Linked DNA regions of Alligator mississippiensis. The protein of the gene in region 1 interacts with the protein of each later gene in a pairwise test. Links are inferred from orthologs where the notes say so. Each region holds a gene or a part of one and is shown on either strand. Other genes may lie near its edges.

The links.
Region 2: the proteins of TMPO (region 1) and LMNB2 interact in a two-hybrid assay, tested with the Homo sapiens proteins (2 studies listed by BioGRID, with this or other methods). The link is inferred for Alligator mississippiensis from reciprocal best matches to the Homo sapiens genes TMPO and LMNB2.

What each region holds. Positions count from the first base shown.
Region 1 is NC_081827.1:93,735,320-93,747,182, reverse strand, and holds the start of TMPO (thymopoietin), read left to right. Parts: upstream 1-5,677; 5' UTR 5,678-5,860; coding exon 5,861-6,112; intron 6,113-6,582; exon of another isoform or gene 6,583-6,603; coding exon of another isoform or gene 6,604-6,606; intron 6,607-11,863. UniProt on the Homo sapiens protein: May help direct the assembly of the nuclear lamina and thereby help maintain the structural organization of the nuclear envelope. Possible receptor for attachment of lamin filaments to the inner nuclear membrane.
Region 2 is NC_081839.1:11,805,726-11,817,804, forward strand, and holds the start of LMNB2 (lamin-B2), read right to left. Parts: upstream 5,322-12,079; 5' UTR 5,238-5,321; coding exon 5,064-5,237; intron 1-5,063. UniProt on the Homo sapiens protein: Lamins are intermediate filament proteins that assemble into a filamentous meshwork, and which constitute the major components of the nuclear lamina, a fibrous layer on the nucleoplasmic side of the inner nuclear membrane.

The DNA.
Region 1 (11,863 bases):
TGGTTTTACTACCAAGAATAAGACTGTCACTCAGATGCCAGAATGCCCAGTCAGCTTCATGACCTTTTGTCTTCAGCTGACCAACAGACTACATGTAACAGTCATCAGTGCGTGAGCCCAACCGTTGATGCAAATGATGAAACAAAGAAGAGTTTGATTATAAACCTGATCAAATCTTATTATCTGTCCCTGAAGATAATTCTTCATGATGGTTTCAATGGTAGTGTGGGCAGGTATTCTGGGCTATGGAAAGGAACATTTGGAAAGAAAGGGAAAGTCCATTCCAATAGAATTCTTCTCCTGAGCAAGTTTTTAAAACATGATTTCATAATCACAAACTCATTCCACCAAAGCAACAAATGGAAGGAACATGGGTGCAGCCCTGCACAAAACACTGGCACTTGATTGCCCAAGATAGTGTTTTCCCAGATCCTTTGTAATATCTGTATCACCAAGAGCTATGACTAGCACAGATGACAGATCATTGTTTGATACGTTCTTTCATGTCCGTTTGTATTGCCCCAAAATGACAAACAAAAGAAGCAAGGAAGAGGTTCAATATTGAGTGCTTAAAAAATCCTGATAAAAGTGATCACTTCCAGCAGTGCCACAATGAGAAACTCTTTGACCTCCCTGATAATCTTGATCATGCTGATCACTAGAAAAGCCTGGAGAAAGGCATCCTTGAGGCAGTTAGGCTTCTCCATATCATGTCTGGCCAAGTCTAGGGGTTTCTTGGGGTAGAGGGGACAATGAGGGTTGGTAGGAGGGAGCAGAATCCAGGTGTAAGGCTCCTATGCTGCAGCCTGGGTCAGCTCTGTAAGGCTTAAGCAGTCTTTTGCCCTGCAGCCCTTGTTAAGTGCACTGACTCAGTTGCTACCAATCATGGCCAACTAACCCCCAGCCCCTTCCCTCTGGTTCTGGAACTGCATTAAGGAACTCCCCCAGAACCTGAACCTTGCTGCGTAACACACTGCTCTTCACTCAGTGCAGCTCCTGTCCCAGTAATTTCTCTGGCTTACCTGGTTCCTGACTCTGCCTTTGGATTCTCCCTGCAGACATGTTTCCTGATTTCTGACCCCAGCATGGCTTACTTTTGGACTTTGCCCTGTGTATTATCCTTCACACTTGATAACTAGGTTTCTGATTCCCAGCTCCTGATCCTGGCTTAGCATTTTGAATCCTGACTTGTGGCTCCTGACCCTTACCCTGGAGCCCCTGCTCCATGCCTGGTTCTACCTACTAGGCATGCTGGCCTGGTGGACTGTGACAGCAGGTATGAAGAAGTCAGGAAGCCAGGTCAGTCAAGCCAAGTCAGGAAGCCAGAGGGTCAGGTAGAGCATAGAGTCAGTGGGTAAACCAGGTTAAGTAGCCAGGAGAACAGGCAAAGAGCTGGGAAAAGCTAAAGGGTCAGGCAGAGCATAGAGTCAGAGAGCGAGCCAGGTTAGGTAACCAAGAGATCAAGTGGAGAGCAGGTAGATGCACAAGCCATAAAGAACAGCAAGGTAATTTTAGTCAGAGTTGAGCTCTGTTGCCCAGATGCTGCCTTTTTGGGGTCAGGGGAGGAGAATGATGGGTTAGCTGAACCTGGCTAGCCATTCTAGGGAGTGGGTTGAAGGTTAGATCCAAATGGAGGTTTCTGGCTAACTTGCTCTGCTTGTATGGTCAAGTGGGGAGGAGGCAGACTGGGATGAGTGGCCATTCTGGGAAGAGTGAGACTCCAGGTTTGAGGCCACAGCCTAACACTGCAGAAAGAAGCATCAGGACTGATTTGGTGAGAATGACAAGAAAACTTAAACTCTCATTGACAGAGAAAGGGGAGCCCTCAAAGCTTGGCAGAATGATATTAACTCCAAGCAGAAGCAAGACACTTATTGTCACATTAAAGCCAAGACCCAAAGGAAAATTTAAGAGCAAAAGAACCAGTGGTGAGAGGACAAAACAAAAGAGATTTGAAAGCTTGCTGACAGCTTCAACAGGCAGAGTTTCTTCAGCACAAACAAAACTGTCTATGAGCCAAACACACAAGGAGCCATTGCTCTGAGATCCAAGGATGGAACAATACTCTTTAAAGACAGCTCCACCATCAATGCATAGGACAAGTACTTTCAAGAGCTCCTGAATCAAGATTCTAATGTTGGAGGCAATGCAATCAAAGCCATTCCATAACACCCCATTAAGCTGACCTTGCAGACCCACCAACTTTCAAGAGGCCTTGAAAGCCATTAAGCATATGAAGAACAACAATGGAATACCAGCTGAAATTTATAAGCAATGTGGAAAAAAAGCTTTCTCATCCACTATATACAGTTCTCATGAAAATCTGGAAATGTGAACAGATTCCTAATAACTTGATGCCAGAATCTTTACCATATTCAAGAAATAAGATATATCACAGTGCAGCAGTTACCATGGTATTGCACTCTTGTCCTTAGCTGGGACAATCCTCACCCACATTCTTCTCAGTAGACTCAGTTCCCTCACTGGAGAGATTTTACCCAAGTCCCAACATAGTTTCAGACCACTCAGAGTTAGTCGATATGATCTTTGTTGCTAGATAGTTGCAGAAGTGCAGCAAGCAATGCTAAGATCTTTACATGGCCTTCATTGTCCTTGAATCTCTTCAGGTCACCTTAAAGGCCCATCTGAAGAAATGTGATACTAACATTAATACCTCAGAGACTCAAGCATTGAGTTATCCCTAGTGGTGCTGTGATGTACATCAAGGCATGAGCCATTTTGAGCAAACTCACCTCTCTCTGGAGGTGGATAGATGAGAGACAAAGGGAAGACCTGTGACTTGACATCACTAGCTACTGCTCTTTCCTCCCAGAACTATTTGCCATGTCTGTAGCTGAACATGCAGATCTTGGACTGTCCTCAATTGTCTATGGACTCACTGATGGAAGACTGTCACCATCATATTGAGGGACTGCTGATGACACTGGTGATGATCCTTGGCATGCCTGTACAATGCTCATTACTCCTAAAGGCAGCTGTCAAAGGTATACCAACTTCACACAATTTGTGATATCCTCTGCACAAAGAACAGACTAGGTGAAAAGGATTCTGGCTTGCCTATAGAGGGAAGTTGTTGTATCAGTGTGAGCGTGAATTTAAAGTATTATGCTCCCCGATGGACACTTTTATTCCTGTTTGGCTTACAGGCAGTCCTCGAGTTACATTTCGAGTTACGTTTTGCACTTACATTTATAAATTGACACTGTTTCAACTTTACGATGTCAGTTTCAACTTTACAACGCATGATCCGATGCAACGCCATGCCAGTGAACAAGTTTGCTGCGTTGCTCATCTCCCTGGAGAACATCTGTCCCAACTTCCTTGGACACTTTCTTTAAGAAAGCAGACAAGACTCCAGAAAAACCTGCAACCAAGACTCCTGAGAAGACTACAGCTGAGAGCCTTTCAAAAAGCCCAGCAAAGTCACCTCAAATAAGTCCTTCCAAATCAATATGATTGCTATTTACAATAGAAATACATTAATGTAGCTATATTACTCATCTATAATTGATCGAGTAAAAAATTCTGGAGTATTTTTGGTGAAAATAGGGTATCGGGCCTTGGCTCAGGAACCAGTCTCCCATTTATATTTCTTATGAGAAAACTGGTTCTGAGTTACAACGTTTCGACTTAAGATGCAATTTTCAGAAACCAATTGTGTTGTAAGTCCGAGGACTGCCTGTATATCGTTTCGGAAGTAGTTGAATATAACAATTTACTGGGAGCATCTGCATGGTAATTAATGTGTCTTTACTACTGTGCATCAAGTTTAGTACCTCTGAGGTACTACATAAAGGGTGCATCTACACATTCATTAATGTGCAGTAGTTACTGTACATTTAATTTCGTACTTGTATAATCACGTACTAAATAAGTGCGCAGTAACTGGAGTTACTGCGTGGTAGTGTCAGTGAATGTGCAATAGCTTACTAATACTATGCAGTAGTGTATTAGAACTGTTTGTGATGTGACGTGCTACTGTACAGTATTATTAGGCTACTGCGCAGTTAACATACCTTGGCTATGCACCCAAAGGTGCATTAACCCATGCTAATGTGCAGTAGCAAAGGCAAATGGTTGTTTTTTTATATGCTTAATGTGCAGTAGACATTCTACTGCACATTAGCACATCTTTTCCTTATGTGCAGAACAGTCCACTGTGCATTAAGGCATGTTGTGTAGATGCACTCATTGAGAGGTAATTGCGACTAGGGATGCTACCTACTATAAGATGTTGGAAACTGAACAAATAGTACACTTAATCCTATGCTCCTGCTCTTCAGTAGATGCAAAATGGTCAAGAGTGCAGATGCCCACGGGCCACTTCTGGCTATTTTCACTGTTAGGATATTTATTTTCATTTATTAAGGATTCTTGCTAAATGCCATGCTCCCAAAGATGACATAACAGACATAAATACATTTGAACAAAGTAACCAAACTACAAATATTATAACAGAGTAAACAAAGTCTCTGAGCTAGCTTCAGCCCTGTGTTGCACCACCTTGACACAGCATCTACTCAGAGGCAGGGCTGTGCTTGTGAACCAGACGGTTCAATGCTCTCTTACTAGAAGTGCCCACTGCTTCCCTGTAGCTGTTGCTGTGGGTGGGGAGAAATCCTGGCCAGGGCAATCACTGGCTCCCAAAACAGAAAGAGAGGGGTTGGTTTCTGTGGAAGTCCTGCTGGGACTGAAAGCTGGTTTCCCTCACAGTGGCTCCCAGAGAGCTCAGTGAAAAGCCTGTTTTCCGGCCAGAGACTGAGTCCTCTGGGGCACAGCAGCCCTGCTAGAAGTGTACAGCAGTGTTGAAATGACTGCACAGATTTTTTCTTCCGGAAAAAAAAAATAAATATATATATATATAGATCAAGTAAAAGCTTTTCTTCACACACCTTAAGCCACATTGAAAGCCTGCAGCCGTTACAATAAATGCACCTGCAGACCCGCACTCCCATTCAGTCCTTTCCCTAACCCAAGCGCAGTCTTAGTCCTAATCCTGCTGTTGGGGTTTATTCTCAGTTCCTCTCCTGTCGGTGTTGCTGTCACTGTCGCTCCTGCTTCCGCTGTCATCGTCCCTCAGATCGGCTTGCCGCTCACCTTGCAGCAGTTTCATTTTCCGCTCCACCCTCCGCCCCACAATGCCCCACCTCGCAGCGCCTGAGAGCTGGGGTCAGGGGAATCACAGAAGAAAGGTGGGGGTGGGTTGGCTGTCCGGCTCTCAACCCTCGCGGGCGGGGTGCCTGCCGGCAGCTTTCATTGCTGTTGGACTCGCCTGGAGCGGGTCCTTGCGGCCAGCCTGTGGGCTGTTGCCCCAGCAAGAGCGCCGGCTCGCGGCCCCCGGGCTGTGCAGTGCAAGCAGGATCCCTGCGGCCGCACGCTGGGGCGCGGGGACGTGGTGGGGGAGGGCCTCGGAGCGGGACACCCGGCCTCGGTTGGGGCTGGGGCGCGAACGGGACGCCCCGCCCCTCTCTTCCCACACGCGGGAAGCGCGGCTCCCGCCTGCACCGAATTTAAACTGCGTGACTCTGCCTCGCGCAAAGCACTGCTGCTGGTGGAACCCGCGCGCCGCTCCCCTTCCCAGCCCCGCAGCCAATCTCCGCGCGGCTTCGTTCATGCCCCGGCCAATCCGGACGCGCTTTATTGCGGGTCGGGGGAAGCGCTTCGGTTGCGCGCGCCGCGGAGCCGGGGCCGTTGGCGCGGGGCTGAGGCGAGTTCCACCCCCTGCCCCCACCCTCCTCCTCCTCCTCCTCCTCCTCCTCCTCCTCCTCGCGGCCCCTGCCCCGCCTCCTCCTCCCCTTTGTTGGCGCCTCTCCGGCCGGGCGGGCGAGCGGCGCCAGCCATGCCCGAGTTCCTGGCCGACCCGTCGGTGCTGACCAAGGAGAAGCTGAAGAGCGAGCTGCTGGCCAACAATGTGAGCCTGCCGGGCGGCGAGCAGCGCAAGGACGTCTACGTGCAGCTCTACCTGCAGCACCTCACGGCGCGCAACGCGCCCGCGCCCGGCCCCGGCCCGCCCGACTTCTCCAGCGACGAGGAGCGCGAACCCACCCCGCTCGGCACCCGCGGCAGGGGGGGCGGCGCCGCCGCTGGCCGGGTAAGAGCTCCCTCTCGCTCGCCGAGCCGGCAGGTGGCCGCGGTGTAACCCGAGCGCGGGCGGCCGCGCTTTCCCGCCCGAATGGGGCCGCCCCGCCCCTCCCCCACCCCCGCTGCGCCTGGCTCCCGGCGCGGCCTCCCACGTGCGGCCCCGCCTCCGCGGCCTGCCCAGCCCGGGCACCCGTCTGCCCGGGTGGGGGATCACGGGTGCCGGCTGCTCCCAGCAAGCGCCCGCCGCGGCGGTACACCGCTGTGCCGAGCTGCCCGTGGCAGGAATAGAAAAGTTGATGAAAGAGAACTTCCTCGCGGGCCGTTGCAGGGGACTGTAAAAGGGACAGGGAGGAAGAGGAGGGTTGGCTGTGCAGCGGCTGGTCCTGTGGGGGTCTAGGCTACCTCTGCTTAGTTTGAGGAAGGAGTCCTGCTGAGCCTTTCTGGCCAGGGAGCACCTGGTCCTTGTGGGACTTACCTGCTTCTTTCTGAGTTCCCTTCTCCATGGTGAGCTGCTCTTTGGTGCAGCCATCCGGCTGTTTCAGATTGGTTCTCATATGCAGGTATCTGCTAGCTTCCTCGTAAAAGAGGGGAAATTCTTTGATTTATCTTAAATGGAGGAAGCTCTTTAAAAAGGTTAAATCTAAAACAGCAGGTTGCAGTCTGTGGTACAGGCACCACCAGTGGTACGCAGACAACCTGTCAATGGCACATGTTAACAGCTGTATTATAATTACTTTATCAGACAAAAATTTGCTGGTGGTATTTAAGGTTGAACTAAAAAAATGTTGATGGTACTTAATGTTATATAATTTTAAGTTGATGGGGCACAATCTGTCAGAGTTTGGGAGCGCTGATCTAAAGTGTAACCAGGTCTGTTATGGTATATACTCTGTGAAGACTTATAACAATTCATTGCTACATTGTTGCAGTTTGTAATACAATCTATTCCAGGCTTGTCCAACATATGGCCTGCCAAGCCATTTTCTGAGGCCCACAGTGCTGCGACGGGAATGAAACACTCTACTTTCATTCCTACCCCTTGTCCCTCCTAGCCTCTCAGCAGGTTCCTAGTGGCTGCTGAAGGGCTGGGGAAGGGACAAGGTTAGGCTTTACCTTGCCAACATGGTGCGGGCTCGTCCCCTCCCCCCACATTTCACGGTGTCCCTTCCTTGCCCCTCCCTTCCTCATTTGCATGCCAGCTCCTCCCCTTTCCCATATTGCAGGGTTTCCTTCCCTAGCTCTGCCCCTCCCTTCCTCATTTGCATGCCGGCCCCACCCTGTGCTGGTCCCTGCCGGGCCGTATGGGCTGGAGCAGGTCGCGGTGCGGCGGGTTCGGGGTGCGGATGCCGGCTCGGAGGGATGCTGCAGCTGGGCCTGCGAGATGCTGCTGCTGTGGCTGTCAGGGCAGGAAGCCAGCGCCGCTCGCGCCTCCCCCGTGCCTGCAGACATTGTGCTGGGGGTGGTGAGTCGCGGGCCCCATGGAGGGAGGGACCCCTGCTGCTTGGGCTTGAGCTTGGGCTGCCCTGGGGGAGAGGGAGCAGGGGAGTGTCCCTGCACATCCCGCACCCCCCTGTAGAGTCCCTACATGTCCCCCTGGCTGCTGAGCCCAGGCGCACAGGTGTGGGAGCATCCTTGAGGCCGTCCAGGTGGCAGGGAGGACACGGCGGGATCAGGCGGCACCCCTTGACCCCTGCGCCCCCAGGCCGTGGCCGGACTGGACAGGCCACGCGAACGCCTGCTTCTGCTGGCCCGCTGGGTGATTAAGAAGTTCATGATCTGGCCCCACATTCAAAAAGGTTGGACACCCCTGATCTATTCAGACCTGTTTGAGGCAAGAGGTCTGAAAGAGAGGGTGTTTCTCCTCTGTTAGGCTGGTTAACTGAGGTTTTTTTTTAATATGCCCAATTCAAATCTAAGTAGTATTGGTAGATAGTTACAGAGGCAGCCTAATATACTGTGTCTTTCAATTATGCAGGGGAGTTGTTCATGTACATCTTGTGACAGCTTTAAAGAAAGCCTCCAATAATGGGGAATACCAGGTACCACATGCTTCACATGTCTAGAATCCAAAAAAGTAGGAAAACTCTCCTAATTTGGCAAGATTTGAGAGCTTGTTTTATACTAAACACCCTTTGCCAGGTAACAATGCTTTCTTGTCAAGCTTGCAAGGTTGTATGTTCAACTTGAGATGACAACTTTACAACTCTTGATAAGTTTCCAACTCTACCTGCAAAACTGTTCAGAACAGTTATAGTTTCAAGCAGCTCTGAAATTGTGTTAGTCTCAAGTAAAATTGGGTAGGATTATGCTACCTACCAGCTGTCTCAGGAGTGCATAACATGGTTGTTGGGCTTCATACAGACTGCCAGGCAGTCCAAGTGACTTGCCATAATCTTTTGCTTGTCAAAATCCTTTTTCTATTTGATAAAAAAAAAAAAAGTGAGCCCTGCATTTTTTCTGTGTTTGGTCTATTGTATTCCCGCTTACAAATGAGTTGGGGGCTTGCATCTGACCGAAGTAGATACCACTAGTGACAGCCTTTCAGTGGAAACTGCACCTGCAAGCTGTCCTCAGAGCTAGGTCACAGGGATGCAACTCATTTCTTTTCTGCCTAGTCATTAGTAACTAATATGTTGACAACCATGAATGACTACCAGGCAAGTAACAACTGAGAATTAATTTAAAAAAATTTTTGAAACTTTAAAGCATTCATTGCATCTGTCATCTTCTGTTATTACATTTTCTTAATTTAGGATCTATTTTGATATAACTTATTCTTTGTATCCAGAGTTTCAAAATATGGATGTATGTGATCTCTGATCTAAAGATTTTAAGCAATTTTGGACACGATATAATGTAGGTTCAGCAAGCCAATAGAGCTGGTAGAATGGGTAAGAATAATGACTCATTAAGCTCTACTATATATTGTGGTAGAGGGTTTCCCCCTTCCCTTTTTTTTTAGTAAGACAAGCTGTTAAGCCAAGCCAACCTCCTGATTTTGTTTTTGTTTGTTTTTTTTATGTAAGGTATTCATTTTATCTGCTATTCTGGTATGGGGTGCCTGGTGATAGGTAGGAACAGAGTGTACAACCCTTTGTAGGGGAGAAGGAGGAATGGTTTTTTGAGGTTTACCAAAATAACCAACTGGAACAGGCGGGGGAACAGAGAACATTCTTTAGCTAATCAGTTTGCTTGCCGTTAATAAGCAAAATATGCAAGGAGAACAGATCAGTCTGATTTCTTCCTAAATTTAGAGGATGTATCCCAAGAGATTATGAATAAATAGTATCCTTAACTTGCACAGAAGAATGTGAATGTTCTCTGCACCTACTGATTTAGAGGGGGATATGCAATGCACTGTTTTGTGCTTGTTTTTGTTTATTATTGAAAATCAGGATATTGGTTTAGATATAAGAGTAAGAATGAGGAGATGCTTTGCTTGGATGACTTACTCTCTCTCTCAGGTTTATTTTAAGGCAAGTCAGCTTGAACCCTTTGAGAGTCTTTGCTATGGTTATGTCACTTCTGTGCCATATAGGCTAGTATAAAGATACCCAAAACTACCTGCCTGCTCTCTGAGGACAAGAATGCCCTGGATCTTTTTTAAATTAAAGATCTGAGATCTTTGTCTCCAGTTGACTGTCCACAGGATAAGTTCGGTGTTCTATCTTTTGTTTCTTCTTTCTTTTTACCCATGAATCCTTCTTGTTATAACAGGAAAAATGTATTGCCCATTCAAAGGAAACAAGGCTCCTCCCCTCCCCCCCTTTTTTTTTTTTTACAGCACATGAAGATAAAACAAATTTGGCTGATATGTCTTTAATCGCCAGGTATACTATGGATAGAGGTGCTGTGGAACAGGGGGGAAAGGGAAAGTGTTGGTAATATGTTTATGGTTCCAGAACCTGCAGCCTAACTCCCTTAAAACAGCATATTCACAATGTTCAGCATCCATTTGAAAGCTGGACTTCAAAACGTTTGTTTTTTTTTCTGGTATTAGTCACCTGACCTGAGTGCTATAGCCAGATGTGGTACACTTTTTGCCAGATCTTTCTGTTGCTTTAGGGAATCTGCTTGTAAGAGAAAACTAGCTACCAAGTTCTGTCAGATGTGCGTTTCAACTTTTTTTTTTACTTGAACCCTTTTTAACTAAATGTTAGGTGTCATAATAAGAGATTAGTACATGGAGTGTATCTTTATTTGAAGGTGTTTCTAATGTTTACATATGCTTTTTAATTTAAAGCAGCATCTACCTTTTTCTTTTGCAATACTGTTTGGTATTGGGTTTTGTTTCCAAGAAAACATTGTTATGGTTGGACATCTTCCTTACATCAGCCTTGTAAAAATTCTGCTTGTTTAATGGTGGCTAGGGTAGGCATTGTGCCTGGACTGGTAAATGGCTGTGATTCTTTGACAAGCCTTCCACATGTTGTAGCACTTCATTGATCAAGCTCGTAACTTAATGCTTTGTATGAAATAACTAAGCCCTTTCTTAGCCCTGGGTTCAAGCCTATTTTCCTTTGCTTTTAAGCTTTGATACGCATTTATACGTTTTTGTCTGAGTTTAATCACTTGAGTTGAGTTGAACGCTTTCTGACTAGCTGAGTATTGAACTGAAAGGCAGGCATAAAACTCTTGTCTTGGGGACCTGGTATTTACTGTCTTAAATTATGAAACACTCCACGTCGTTTCCCCCCTCCTCACCATAGAGCTAGCTGCCTCGCACTGCCTGGCTGCCACATGCATGTGTGCATGTGGTGACCTTTGTCTGATCACCCTCCTCCTGTTCCCTGCAGTCCCTTGCAGGCTGGAAGTCTGACAGCCTGCAAGGGGAAACTGGCTGTTTCCTGCAATTTTTCTCCTTACAAAGAGAAAATCTGCATTTTTCCACAGTGAACGGAAAACCCAGATCCCTGGAAATACATGATTTAGTGGAAATAGTAGAAGACCATATTACTTAAGAGTAGTCTCATGTGGTCCTCAGTTTGTATGCTTTCAGTTAGCATGTTAACCTTAATTTTGGCATTTATCTCAGGTACTTGACTTCATAATTCTTATTTCCTCACCATACGACCACCTGGTCACTTTTTTTTGTAATAAGCAATAGGTATTCTCTTAGCTTTGGTGAAATTAGCCCATGATAAACATTTCCAGAAGGCATCTGAGGTCAAGAGCTTAGTGTGGTTCAATAAGGAGATTACACTTGTAGAGAAAAATTCCAAAAAATTAAAGCATAGTTGTATAGAAATAATACAAACCCACATGCTTCATAAAGATAGATTAACCATGAATGTCATGAATGCTAGCATTTTTTCAGTTCTTTAATTCCTGTGATGGATGGTACCTGAATTGTTTGTGTTGATACAACTTGGGTTCTTTTAATAGCCTATTTAACCTTGTTCTGAGGGATAGTAAAGAAGCTTGTACACTTGATGCCCATGCTGCACCTTAATCCAAGCTTTGTGATTATGGCTCTGAAAGATCTTTGTGTAGGTGGGATTTGAAGTATATTCATATTGGCAGGGTATTTGGTGATGTCTAATACCTTTATAAGGCGTATTGTACGAGCCCCAGTTGAATACAAGATATTATTGAATAACTGGCTAGCACAGCTACCTGATCAAAGTTCTCTAGTAGAAATGCAGCTATCTAAGACATGTTTATAATTAAACTGTTGTATGATCAGCACAAATGATTTTTGACAAAAGACCTCTTGTTTGAAATAAGTTGTCTCCTGAAGTTTGTGCCCAACTGCAGTCAT
Region 2 (12,079 bases), on another chromosome or scaffold:
CGGCCTCAAAAGTAATAAAACATTCTTGAGTTTCTACAAATTGCAAATGACTTTTATTACATGGGATGGTTTGGTGATAACTTTTCTTTGGCTGAAGATTAACTTCTAATTCATTGCAGGCTGTAAATAGAAAACCTTCCAACATTTTTACTGATGATAACAGCTGCAATATTCCTCAGCTGCAGAAGAGGCCATCATAGGCAAGAGGAGACATTTAAAGAGTTTTAAAGAATCACCAATGGAAAAGGGACACAGATGGCAGTGGATGCACACCATAAGTTAGAGAATGTAGGCAACAGATGAGAAGCAAAAAGATATCAAACAAATACATGCCAAGTGAAAGCAATCAGACGGAACTTAAAGTATCAGAAATAAAAATGACAAATAATACAATTAATGCACACCAAAATGAGCAGCAAGAAGTTTTTTAGCTGGATACAGACAAGTGTGACATTTGTCACAACACTAAGTGAGAGCTGTATTAACCCTTGCTCTCTCTCAGATATTTCCTTATTAAGGGATCAAAACAGGAAAAAAAAAAAAAAAAAAAAAGAGTAGCCAAATAGCATACTCTGCTTTCCTGTCAACACCTCCAGGACCAACAACTAGCCATCAGGGAAGTATTTTTCCAAGTCAAATTAGCAGTGCACCAATAAAGATTTTTACCAATGGCAAATTATTAACTATCCAATACTGATCCGACTGCTGATATGCAGCCTGGCAGCTTGGACAACAGCATCGGGCCAGGAATTCTGTAGGGGAGAAAGGGACATGAGGGAGGGGAGGGGGCTACAGACTGAGGCCTCCACTGGGAGGGAGGGAGTGGGGCTGGGGCAGGCGCTGCCCAGCCAGGCAGAGCGTGGGACAGAGCCATGGGGAGCTCGTCCAGGGGGAACAAGGAGGCTCCTGCTGCTCCATAGATCCTGGGGAAGGCATGGGGCACATGTGCCCCCCAGATTTGTGCGTGGGGCAAGGGTGGGCTGCCAGCTGCAGGCTCAGGGCTGTGCCGGCCTCTTCCCAGTGGGGGGGAGGGGGAGCAGTGGCAGTGCTTGGAGGAGGGGCTACAGCCATGCCAAAATTCATCATAGCCCCCCTGTAGCTCCTCTCCCAGGGCCGCTGCCGCACACCCTGAGCACAGCCCCAGCCTAAGAAGAGGACAGCACAGCCTACATCCCTGAGCCTGCAGTGCTCACCCCACACACAAATCCAGGGGGCACATGCCTCCTATGCCTCCCATGGGGTGTGCACAGCAGCAGGAGCTGTCCTCCCTCCCCAGACAAGCCGCCTACAACTCTGTCCTGCATGCCTGCCCACCCTGTTCCACTCCCTCCCTCACTGTGAGGGCCTCAATTGGCCCCCCCACATCCCTTTCCTCCTCCCTTCCCCCCCCCCCCCCAGACTTACGAGCTGGACGCTGCTCTCCAAGCTGCTGAGGTACATTCCTGGCCGCGTGCATGCTGCAGCTGCACACATGCACATGGCATTTATTGATGAAATTATCAGCCAAAAAAAGCCAATGGCTGATAATCGATACTGGTGTCAAAAGCGGACTGGCAAAGTTCACTGATGACACCATATTTGGGGAAGAGTTTCCACACTTGAGGATAGGCTGGTGAACCAAGCCAACCTCGATAGGCTTGCAAGGTGGGTGGATGAAAACCTGATGGCATTCAATACAGAGAAATGCAAGGTGCTCCACCTCAGGAAAAAAAAACCCTGCATCACACTTATAGGCTCGGCAGTGTTACACCTGCTAGCACCAGGACCAAAGAGACTTGGGGGTCATGACTGACCACAAGATGAACATGAGCTACCAATGTGATACTGCAGCTGGCAAAGAGAACAAAACTCTGGCTTGCATCTACCGATGCATCTCAAGCAAGACCCAGGATGTCATCCTCCTACTGTACTTGGCCTTGGTGAGGCCACAGCTGGAGTCCTGCATCCAATTCTGGGCTCCAAAATTTAGGAAGGAGGTGGAGAAGCTTGAAAGAGACCAGAGGAGAGCCATGTGCACGATCAGAGGGCAAGACAACAGGCCTTACAAAGAGAGGCTGCCAGCTATGGGACTCTTCAGCTTGGAGAAACAGGCTCAGGGGTGACTTGGTGGCAGCCTATAAGTACATAAGGGGTGTGCATCAGGATCTGGGGGAACACCTGAGCATCCCAGGGGATGACAAGGTCCAATGGTCACAAACTCCTGCAAGACTGTTTTAGGCTGGACATAAGAAAAACTTCCTTATTGTCCAAGCCTGCAAGGACTGGAACAAACTCCCCCCAGAGGTGGTGCAAGCACCTACTCTAGACACTTCCAGGAAACATTTGGATGTTTCTCTTGCTGCGATCCTTTGACCCTAGCTGACTTCCTGCCCCTTGGCAGGGGGCTGGATCCGATGATCTTACAAGGTCCCTTCCAGCCCCAATGTCTATGCAATCTATGAAATGTCAATTTTCCTTTTATCAGTGCCGGTACAACATAGATCGATGTCGGTGCACCTCTAAATCAAAACCTACTTAACTTGGACAATACATTCTTTAAGAAAGAACATTTTCTCCCTATCATGTCTATATACCACCCACCACAAAGTCCATGTCCATGTATTGGGGTAGGCTGCAGCCAGGGCTGCGTGGGGCTCTTCTCCACAGGGGCTATGCTTAGAGTGGACGCTGGTGGTGCTGGGAGGATGCTGCATTCACCCCGAATTTCGCCGCTGCTCTGCTCCAAGCAGTGGGGTCGATGCAGCATTCACCCAGCACTTGCTCCAAGTCCAGGCCCTCCTGAAAAGATCCCCAGGCAGCATGGCTCCCCCCTCCCCCCGGGCAGTGCCTGACCCTGCCCCCTCCCTCACCATGGAGGGCATCGATCTGGATCTGCCTCCCCCACACCCCTTCCCTCCCCTTCCACCACACTAGACTTACCAGCCGGAGGCAGCTGTATCAGAAATCAGATCAGTATCAGTCGATATGCCTCCTGAAACATCGACTATCGGTACTGGCCCCCAAAACCCAACTGATTTGGAAGCAGGACTTCTTGCAGGCCAGACAAACCCAGCATAGACACTTACCCCACTTTTCCTCTGCCACTGATTTCAGGCACCCAACAGCAACCTAAGACCCCAAATGCAGTAGCAGACAAGAAAAAGGAGGAAGAGGGGCAAAAGCAACAATGCTCACCCCCTGGGTGCTGGAACCACACCAATGCAGTGGCTCTACCAGCTATGCCAAGAAGCCCAATGAGCCACAATTTGACCACTACAGGATAGCACTGCACTAGGATACCAGCTAAATTTGAAATATCTAAAATTATTCCCAAAATAATTATTTGCTGTTCTTCAGGAGGAGAAGACCCTTAAAACATGCCCAACCGTATGGAACGGCATTAAGAAATTTCCATATTGATGATGAACACCATTAAAATTCATGAATTTAAGCAGAAAAAAGGTAAAACAGAAATACTTTAGGTTGTAAAGCAAAAAACACTGGGCATACCTAATCTACAAAAATTCACTCCATTAATGACTAAACTTTAACTTATTGACTAAACTTTAACGTAAAGGAAAAAAAAAATCTATCAGACTATACAGCTATGCAATTGCTCTTGGCATCAGCTGCAAATGCCATTATTTACTCAAAAGCAAGGTAAGGTCTTTTGCCCCCAATCAGAATGGGAAAAATCTCATCTTGGATTCAAGGACCAGCCCAGGGCAGACAGCAGCTCAGCTCTGGCTTTGGCCCTGGGCTCAGAGCTGTGCCAGGGTTGAAATGACTTGTTCGGTGGCAAGTAGGGAAGAGACTGGGAGAGAGGGAGGGGGAACTATCTGCAACTTACCCACCCTTTGCCCCCTATGCCTGTGCCTGCCCCCCTACCCCAGCTACCCCTTCTATACCTCTTGCCTTCTGTTCCAACCCTGATCCCTCTAGCCCCAACCCACCCCAGGTAGGAACTGCTGCCACGTCTCCCTGGCCAGACTGGGCCAGGCCATCTACTACTGCTCACTGCCCCGGAGGAGCTGAGCACAGAAGGTAAAGAGGGGTGGGAGCAAGCACAGGGGGCAAGGGGTGGGGGGTAGGCTGCAGGGTGGGAGCCAGCACAGGCACAGAGGGAGCAAGAGGCTGGGGCCAGGCACAGGCCAGTGGGGACAAGGACTAGGGAAACAAGGTGCAAGTCTAGCCTCTTTCCTCCCACTGCTGCTTTCCCTGCCACAGCAGAGAATTTTCCATGTACACAATCTAATGATTGTGGGTCATTTTAAATTTGAAGCCATCTCAGAATCGGGCAAATTGGGTCGTTTTGGCTACAAAAGTTCCACTTCACTTTGAACGTAAAGGAAGCTACTTCTACTGCACAAGTGCTCAGAAATTCAGACAGGGGGCAGGAGTTGTTTCTTTTTTTTTTTTTTTTTTTTTTTTACAGGACCTATCCTAGGTGGACAAACCCTCAGATACAAATGGCCGTAGCTTTTCAAGTCTAACACAAGCACAGCTTAAACAACTGCTTGGGTCCCAAACACCCGCAACAGCCAGTGAAACAATCCTTGTCCAGGAGTCTCATTTATCCAAATTAACCTCGATTCGTACACTACCGCAGATGCTCAGCTTCTTACAGGGAAGATTTACGTACGCAGAAGCATCAGATTCAACTCGAGCAATACTTGCTCTCGCTTAACAAAAGGACACTCGCTCCCTGTTAGTCCTTCTGTATTAAAACCATGCTTCCTCTCCTTCTGCACACCATGTGCCCGCAGCGTGACTAAAGCAGATGAAAACTACGCGAATACACAGCCTGCAGGAGCTACTCTACCGCGCCGTCAACACAGAAAGCAAAGACAACTCGCCGCGGCCGTGAGACACATCAAAGTCTGAGAAGACAGAGGCGGGCCCGGCCCGCCCGCCGCCTCGGCCCCGGCGCCCGGGGACCCGCCAGCTCGTGGCCCGGAGGAGGCTCTCGCTTGGCCCCGCCGCCTCAGGACCCGCGGAGGGCCCCGGCCCCGGCCCCGGCCCTTCCCACCGGCCACACACGTGCGGCTGCGACGGCCCGGCCCGGCCCGCTCCCCCGGCCGCACCTCGCGGGTGGTGACCTCCTCCTTCTCCGAGATCTTCAGCAGCAGCCGGTCGTTCTCCAGCTCCAGCGAGCGCACGCGGTCAATGTAGACGGCCAGGCGGTCATTGAGCTGCCGCAGGTCCTCCTTCTCCTGCAGCCGGGAGATGCGGGTCGGGGACAGCGGGGTGCCCGACATGGCGCTCGCTCCGCCGGACGAGACGAGACGGGACGGGACGAGCGAGCAGCGGGTTCATTCAATCCAGCCGCACAGTGGGCGGGAGGAGCGGTAAGATGGCGGCCGCCTCCCCCAGTCCCGCGCAGCGCGGCCCGGCGCCCCCTGGGAAATGGAGTCTCGGGCCCGCGGCCGGGAGCGCGGGGGCTGCTGGGGGCTGTAGTCGCTGCAGGCACCCGCTGGGGACGAGGACTGAGCTCTGCACGTGCAGGACCTCCCCGGCCTTGGCTGGGGGATGTTCATCGTAGTGCGCGAAGGGCCTCGCGGGTTGGGACACACCTGAAAGGCCTTGTAGCCAAAGAGCCCCACGGCCTCGGGCGGGCAGCAGCAGGAGTGTTTTGTTGTGTAATTTAAACAGAAAAGGCCTGGTTTTAGGGGCGGGCAAGCAAGCAGGTCAGTTGCCCAGGCCGCAACATCTTGAGGGTCTACATGGCCCCATGCGTACCAAGAAGCTCTGCTGGCAGCCAGCAGCCACCATATGTATATCCACATCCTTCTAGCGCTGTGCGCCAGAGCACAAAAGCACCTGCAGCAGCCAGCGGAGAGCCCGAAGCGCACCTCCGTCCGAGCGGCAGCCCAAGCCCTATCCCCGGGAGAGGAGGCAGCAGCGTAACTGCTGGCAGAAGGGAGGTTCTTAGAGAAGAGCTCAGTCCAAAACGTGGATTTTCATAACTCCCACTGAGTTGCTAGCCTAACCTGGAGGTGCTACATGCCACGTGTACCCAGTATGATTTTGGGCAAGCCAAAAATGCCTGAGCCTTAAATGCAGATTGGTAAACTGTGCACTTAAATGAGATGTACCAGAATTCTGCCTGAATCTCAGAAAGTAGTCCATAATACGCTGCTCCAGCAGCCACAAAACTCATTAGATTACGAAGCCTCCTCACTGCCTACAGTTCATCTTTTCAGCTGTTTTCAGCAGGTCACCCAAGGGGCTCATTTAAAATAGGACTGCTTTCCTCAGCTCCTCTCCCCAGTTCTCCAGCACTGTGAACCCTCTACACTCTGATGCTCCACCGCCACTCTTCCTCCTTCAATATGCACAGCTGAAACCAGAGCTAGAAAACAGAGCAGGGGAGGAGTGTGTCCCATTTAGACACTGCAAATATGGTCACTAGATTATAGCATGGGTATCAAACTCACCTACCTTCCTTGGGCTGAATCTGGACTACGTAGCTCCTTGTAGGCCAGATCTGGACCCACCTCTGGTGGTGGGTGTAGTGATAGAAGTTACAGTTTAGTGCCACTGTAATTAAACTGTCGAACAAGCTTTAGTTAAAGCACGCCTGCTGCCATTTTTCAGCACAGGGATGCTGATACACGTGACACTGGAGTCTGCTGGAGCATGGTAATTACCATGCTCCAGCAGACTCAAGTAAGCCTGCTCTGACACGCTGTAATGGCAACACACCAGAACAGCCTCAACCTATGTGTATAAGTGCCCCATGATTCTGTAATCCAGTTACTGAGGCACTTAATGGGGTAGGAAAACTTGGTTTCTGATCCCAGGCATTAAGGATTTTTTGGGGGAGGTGCTAAATGTGATAACTGTCTAATTGAAAATACATAACCGGTTCAGGGAGCAGAATCCAGATTTCCCCACACCTAACTAAGAACACAAACTTTAGGATACTGAGGAGAGAAGTGCATCTGGATCCCCCACATTGACTGAGTGCTGCCTACTGGCTATTGTTTAAAGGGAGGTACAAACCCTCTAGCCATGATTTTCAAGAGGACTGGGTTTGGTGCTCAATTCCATGAAGTGAATCCTGAACAGATATAAGCACCTACCTCCCCACAGTCTGAAGTTAAATGCCTAAGAAACTGAAAGGCAGCAATTTCTCATGCACAGCCCTTTGTTTTTTTGCTATTTTGTTATTTTGAAAAAATAAAAGGTATAACACCTCTGAACCAAGAGTTTTGTATTCCTTCTTGTCTCAGACCAACACAGCTATAACACAGATCCCTGAAACATGGAAGATACCAAATTTTAGTAATTTCTTGGAATTACAAACTTCATTGCTAAACAAGAAAGCAACATTTCTGCCATCTGACACCACCAGGGAAGAGAAACTGCCTTATCTGAACATGCAAGAGAAACTCACACTAAGGGACTCTCATGGACCCAGAGGAACATAGATCCACCTTCAGCCTTCTCTGTGCAAAACGAAGCTTATTTTCTACCTAAGGTGACTTTTACCATCTTTAATTTCCCCTCAGCCTGAAGAAGGGTGTGTGTGTCCAAAACCTTGGGAAAAAATATTTTTTTTTACTATTTTCTGGTTGGTCTAATAAAAGGTATTATCTCTGAACCAAGAGGTGTATCTGTATTCCTTCTTTTCACACCAACATGGCTATAAAAAAGATAACCCTCTGTCTGGCATTTGTAATGACTATTTGAGGTGGCCCTTGCCCTCTTAGCATTGCTAGCTTTTTGTGAGTCCCATAGAAAGGCATGTAATCCCTTTCATGCATTATATACAGAGCCTGAGTGCCTAATACATCTGTGGATTACAATAAGTAGTAGAACACTGACACATTAGGCACGAAGACTGTTAGTTTGGCAAGTCTTAAGTCTTGCAAATCTAGCTTTAAGTGACTTGCCCAAGGTCTGAAAGAGTGGGAAATTGAACCCAAGTTCTATGCTTGCATTATACATGATATGATAAGATAATGTAGTCTTCTAAATAAAGTTGACTTTTTACTCACATCATTTTTTTTCTTTTCTTTGTGCTATCATTTTGAACTTAGTACCATTTTGGAATGGTGACATTCTTTCTTAATATATAATAGTTGCAACATGACCACAGACACTGTTCCCAGTTCAGTGCTGACTTTTAATAATCTAACCAATCCGCTCTAAATATACAGTCTGACTCCTAGCCATAAACAGCTAGCTTGAACTTGGATTTTTTTTTTCAAAAGGGGAGGAGGAAAAGACGGACTACAAATCCCAGAGTACTTTGGCATTTTAAACAAGAGACTTGGTCATGCACCATCTGTTAACCCAGGGCTGAAAGCCACAGCAGGAACAGCCCATATGCCTGTGGGAACCTCCCCTTTCACTTCCTTTGGATTTGAAATGCAGTTCTGTTTTTTAATTTTGGCGCCTGCCTGAAAACTGTAAACCAACTGCTGCTGGCCCAGCTCCAGAACTTAACTGCATGTCCCTCAGTGGAGTTGCTCCTTATCTGTATTCATGTTCTGTTTCAAATATATCTACCTTTTACCAGTTAAAGCAATTAAATGCTTGTCAGTACCAAGCAATGCACTTATGATGAGCATCTTGTTTCTTTCTCAGTACCAGCAAATATTTGGAGGATTCATGCCAAGATTATATATTTTAGGAATGTTGAAAATTCCATTCTAACCGTTTTGGTTTTTGTTTTTTTGTTTGTTTGTTTGTTTGGGGGGGGGGGTTGTGCTTATCTCAATACCTCCTTCCTGCTTTGTCATTTGTAACGTTTCAAATTCAAACCCTTCTCAATTTTTCTAGGTAATTTAATCCAGATGTTCCTACTTATTTACTTGATACAGTTCAGCCCAGGCTTACCTATTCGTTTTTAGGAAGTATCTTCTAGGTTTTGAATCCTTGAAAAACATGGAAAATTTGTTCCCTAATAATTTTAACAATTCCTTTCATAATATGGAATTTCATATTTTGTCACAGCAAAATTTCTTTTCCCAAACAATGTCCCTTAAACATGAATTACTACTTGGATGCTTGAGCTATGATATCTTTTATAGTTTCTTAGATGGTCCACTCTCCATAGGAAAAATCTAGCTATGGCATGCATGGTTAGGGTACCATACATGAGCAAAACTGTCCACGCTACTCCCTGGTAATACACAATATTCTATATGGGCTGTAACAAGTACCTTAGTGAGACTGACTGCCATGTCAAACGAATTATCTCCTTGAGCAGTACTAAATCATTAGTGGTTCTGTCATTCATTCCTCATCTCCTAGCCTTTGTTTCCTGAATCATCAAAACACATGCACAAGATCCACACACTAGCACTACCCACACCAATAAAATGTAGAGTTGATTAGAGCTTACTTCTTTCATTCAGTGAGCAAAATTGATCCTCCAACCTCAGACTTTAATATCCATTCACTGATAATAAAGGCTTGGCCCAGGGACTTTATGTATCTCTGAGAAGTACAGGCAGGCAACTCTTGGAATAACAAGGAATATTGACAGTAAGGGTGCGTCCAGACAAGCATGCACATGTGGTTTGTGGCACTGCAAACTGTACACGCTGCACATGCATGTGTTTGCTGTGCTGCTAATTAGCAGCATGATGATTTTTTTTGTCACAGGGATCTCCTGGTGTCAAAAAAAGATTCACAAGAAAAAAAGCAGAGTAGCGTACATGCATAGTGGCAAGCATGTACTGACTGAAACCAGAGCCTGACTGACCAGGCTCCTCATGTCTAGATTGCCACTGCTGCAGGCCTGACAGGTCCCCAGGACCAAAGGTAAGGCTGCTGGGGGCAGCCCAGGTGCTTCAATGATTCTCTCAGTTTCTCCAATCCCTTCTCAGCAAAGGACTATACGGTTCTGGGAAGTGAAGATATATCTGAACATTTTGTTTCAAATTCAACCCAGCTCAGTCAGCAGTTACCAAGTCATTCATTTAAACCATCTGATGACAGCTCGTCAGTTTGCAAGAAGGGTCTCATGTATTCAGCAGCCATTGATTTAATTGCAGCATAGAGCCTTCACCAAATCTTTTATTTTAAAAAATGTGTTTCTCGAGTGGACAAATCACCTTTCAGGATGAACAGGACCACACCATGCTGTGTGGAGATGCAGACTCCCTGAATGGACTCCTCATAAATTCCTAAATATTTGGGATCTTGTGCACTGATTGGATAAGAGGACTGGAGAAGGACGTGCCCCTGCAACTCCCCACAAAGGACAATAGAAAAAAAGTTCTTTAGAAATAGTCACAAGGGGGGCAAGAATATCATCATAACAATGTGAATATGAGGAGCAAAAAACAAATTAGATACTATGTCCCAAAGACTAGTTCTGCATCTGCTATGCGAACGCTCATAGTTAAGGGAACAGAACAGAACACCATGCACATTTGGGGGATTAAAGCCAAACAGATCCCATACTATCTGTAAAACAAGGGCTCTTTTAGATAGGTGAAACATGCTGAACTTGAAACTCTTTGCAAAGTTGCTTCCTTTCATTGCTATAAACAGATTGTTCAAGCTGAATGCTTCTTGTAATTCATGGCAGAATCTTCCTGGCAGGGCACCCTTCTACACGTAGGATAGATCTAAGAACCCAGAATTGTCACTCCAGCTTGGACTGGAGTCTATCCAGTCTACCTTCCTGTCTCAGACGGTGGCCCATATGTATCAGGCAATTCAAAGGAAAGTGCAAAACCTCCCAATGATAGATATTTGCAGAACGATCTGCCCATAGGGGCAATTCTTTCTAACCCTAACGAGCTAGTGGTTGGTAGGTGCTCTGAAACAGAAGTGTTAATATCCCCCTGTTACAAAGATGAGCAATGCAGTAAAAACAATACAGGTATTTCTTGGGACTCTGACTGCAAGCACTTGCATAGCTTGTGGAACGGGAGACAGAAATTTCTGTATATACGTGATTGTTGCATATACAGATTAACAACCCATCTAAATTGGATTAACTGGGGTAATTCTTGATGCAAGTTTTAATTAACATTGGACTAGGACTTTCAATCCTAAACTTTGTGGGATTTTACTTTCAGATCCAGACCTGAATTTCATTCTATGTCCACTCCACACTACAAACGTTCTGCCAGCAAAGTACATGCACATTCAAAGCCCCTCTGTGGCAGCAGAACCCTCCATTCCATCATAAGAATTACTTCACCTCTGCGGAGTGGAGCAAGACTTCCGCTGATTCCCAGCAGCAAGCAAGAGAATCTAAAAACTCTTGTATCTTCACCCAGCTGCCATGGTCCATTCAGCAGCTGGTGCCTTCTCAAAATAGATTTTGTGCTCCAGTGGTACAACTGTTGGACCAGAGATGTGTTGAGCTTCCAAAAGCCCATAATGAACGTGCTCTGGCAGCTGCCATCTGGCTGTAGAAGCATCTTAGTGTAGACATAACCCTAAATTTTAGAAAGTCCCCAAACTAAGAAAAACTTGGAAGATGTGGCACACCAAGCAAATTTTTTGTAAAGACGAAGAGCCCAAACCAGACTTAGATTAACTTCAGTTGAGTCATTCTTGAAGTTCACCAGCACCATACAAATCAGGTCTGCACACCTCTCATCTCCAGCACAGAGCTGATATAATGTGCTCTACATAGGGCTACATAGTAAATTCATTCAAAGTTGGAAGCTAGCACAGAAGGTTTAGTCTGATTGAAAAGTGGACTATCCTGCCCAGAGAGTACAAAACCAGCTGTCTGGGATTTGCATTTGGTTCCAAGAAAAAATAAATGTGTTACTTTTGATTTATCAAGCCCAAAATTACATGCACAGTACTATATAAATAACTCCTGTCTATCTTCTTTCCCTCCACCTATGAGCCTGCTTAGCTGAGATCAGCAAAGGTGTTCACACTAGAGCTTCCTCAGGGAAGGTGTGAGGCACTTTCTCTGTGATGAATTCTCAGATTTACAACTCACTCCAAGTTTTGATGGAATCTGCAACCTAATATAGGGTTGGGGTGTTATTGTACCTGTGGTGGTCTAGAAAATATGCGAGAAATCAGGGGTGTTTTTAGTGTTATCTTTTACTAGATGGTATAGTTGGAAGGAACATTAGACAAGCTCTTGGGCCCAAAGTGCCCTTCC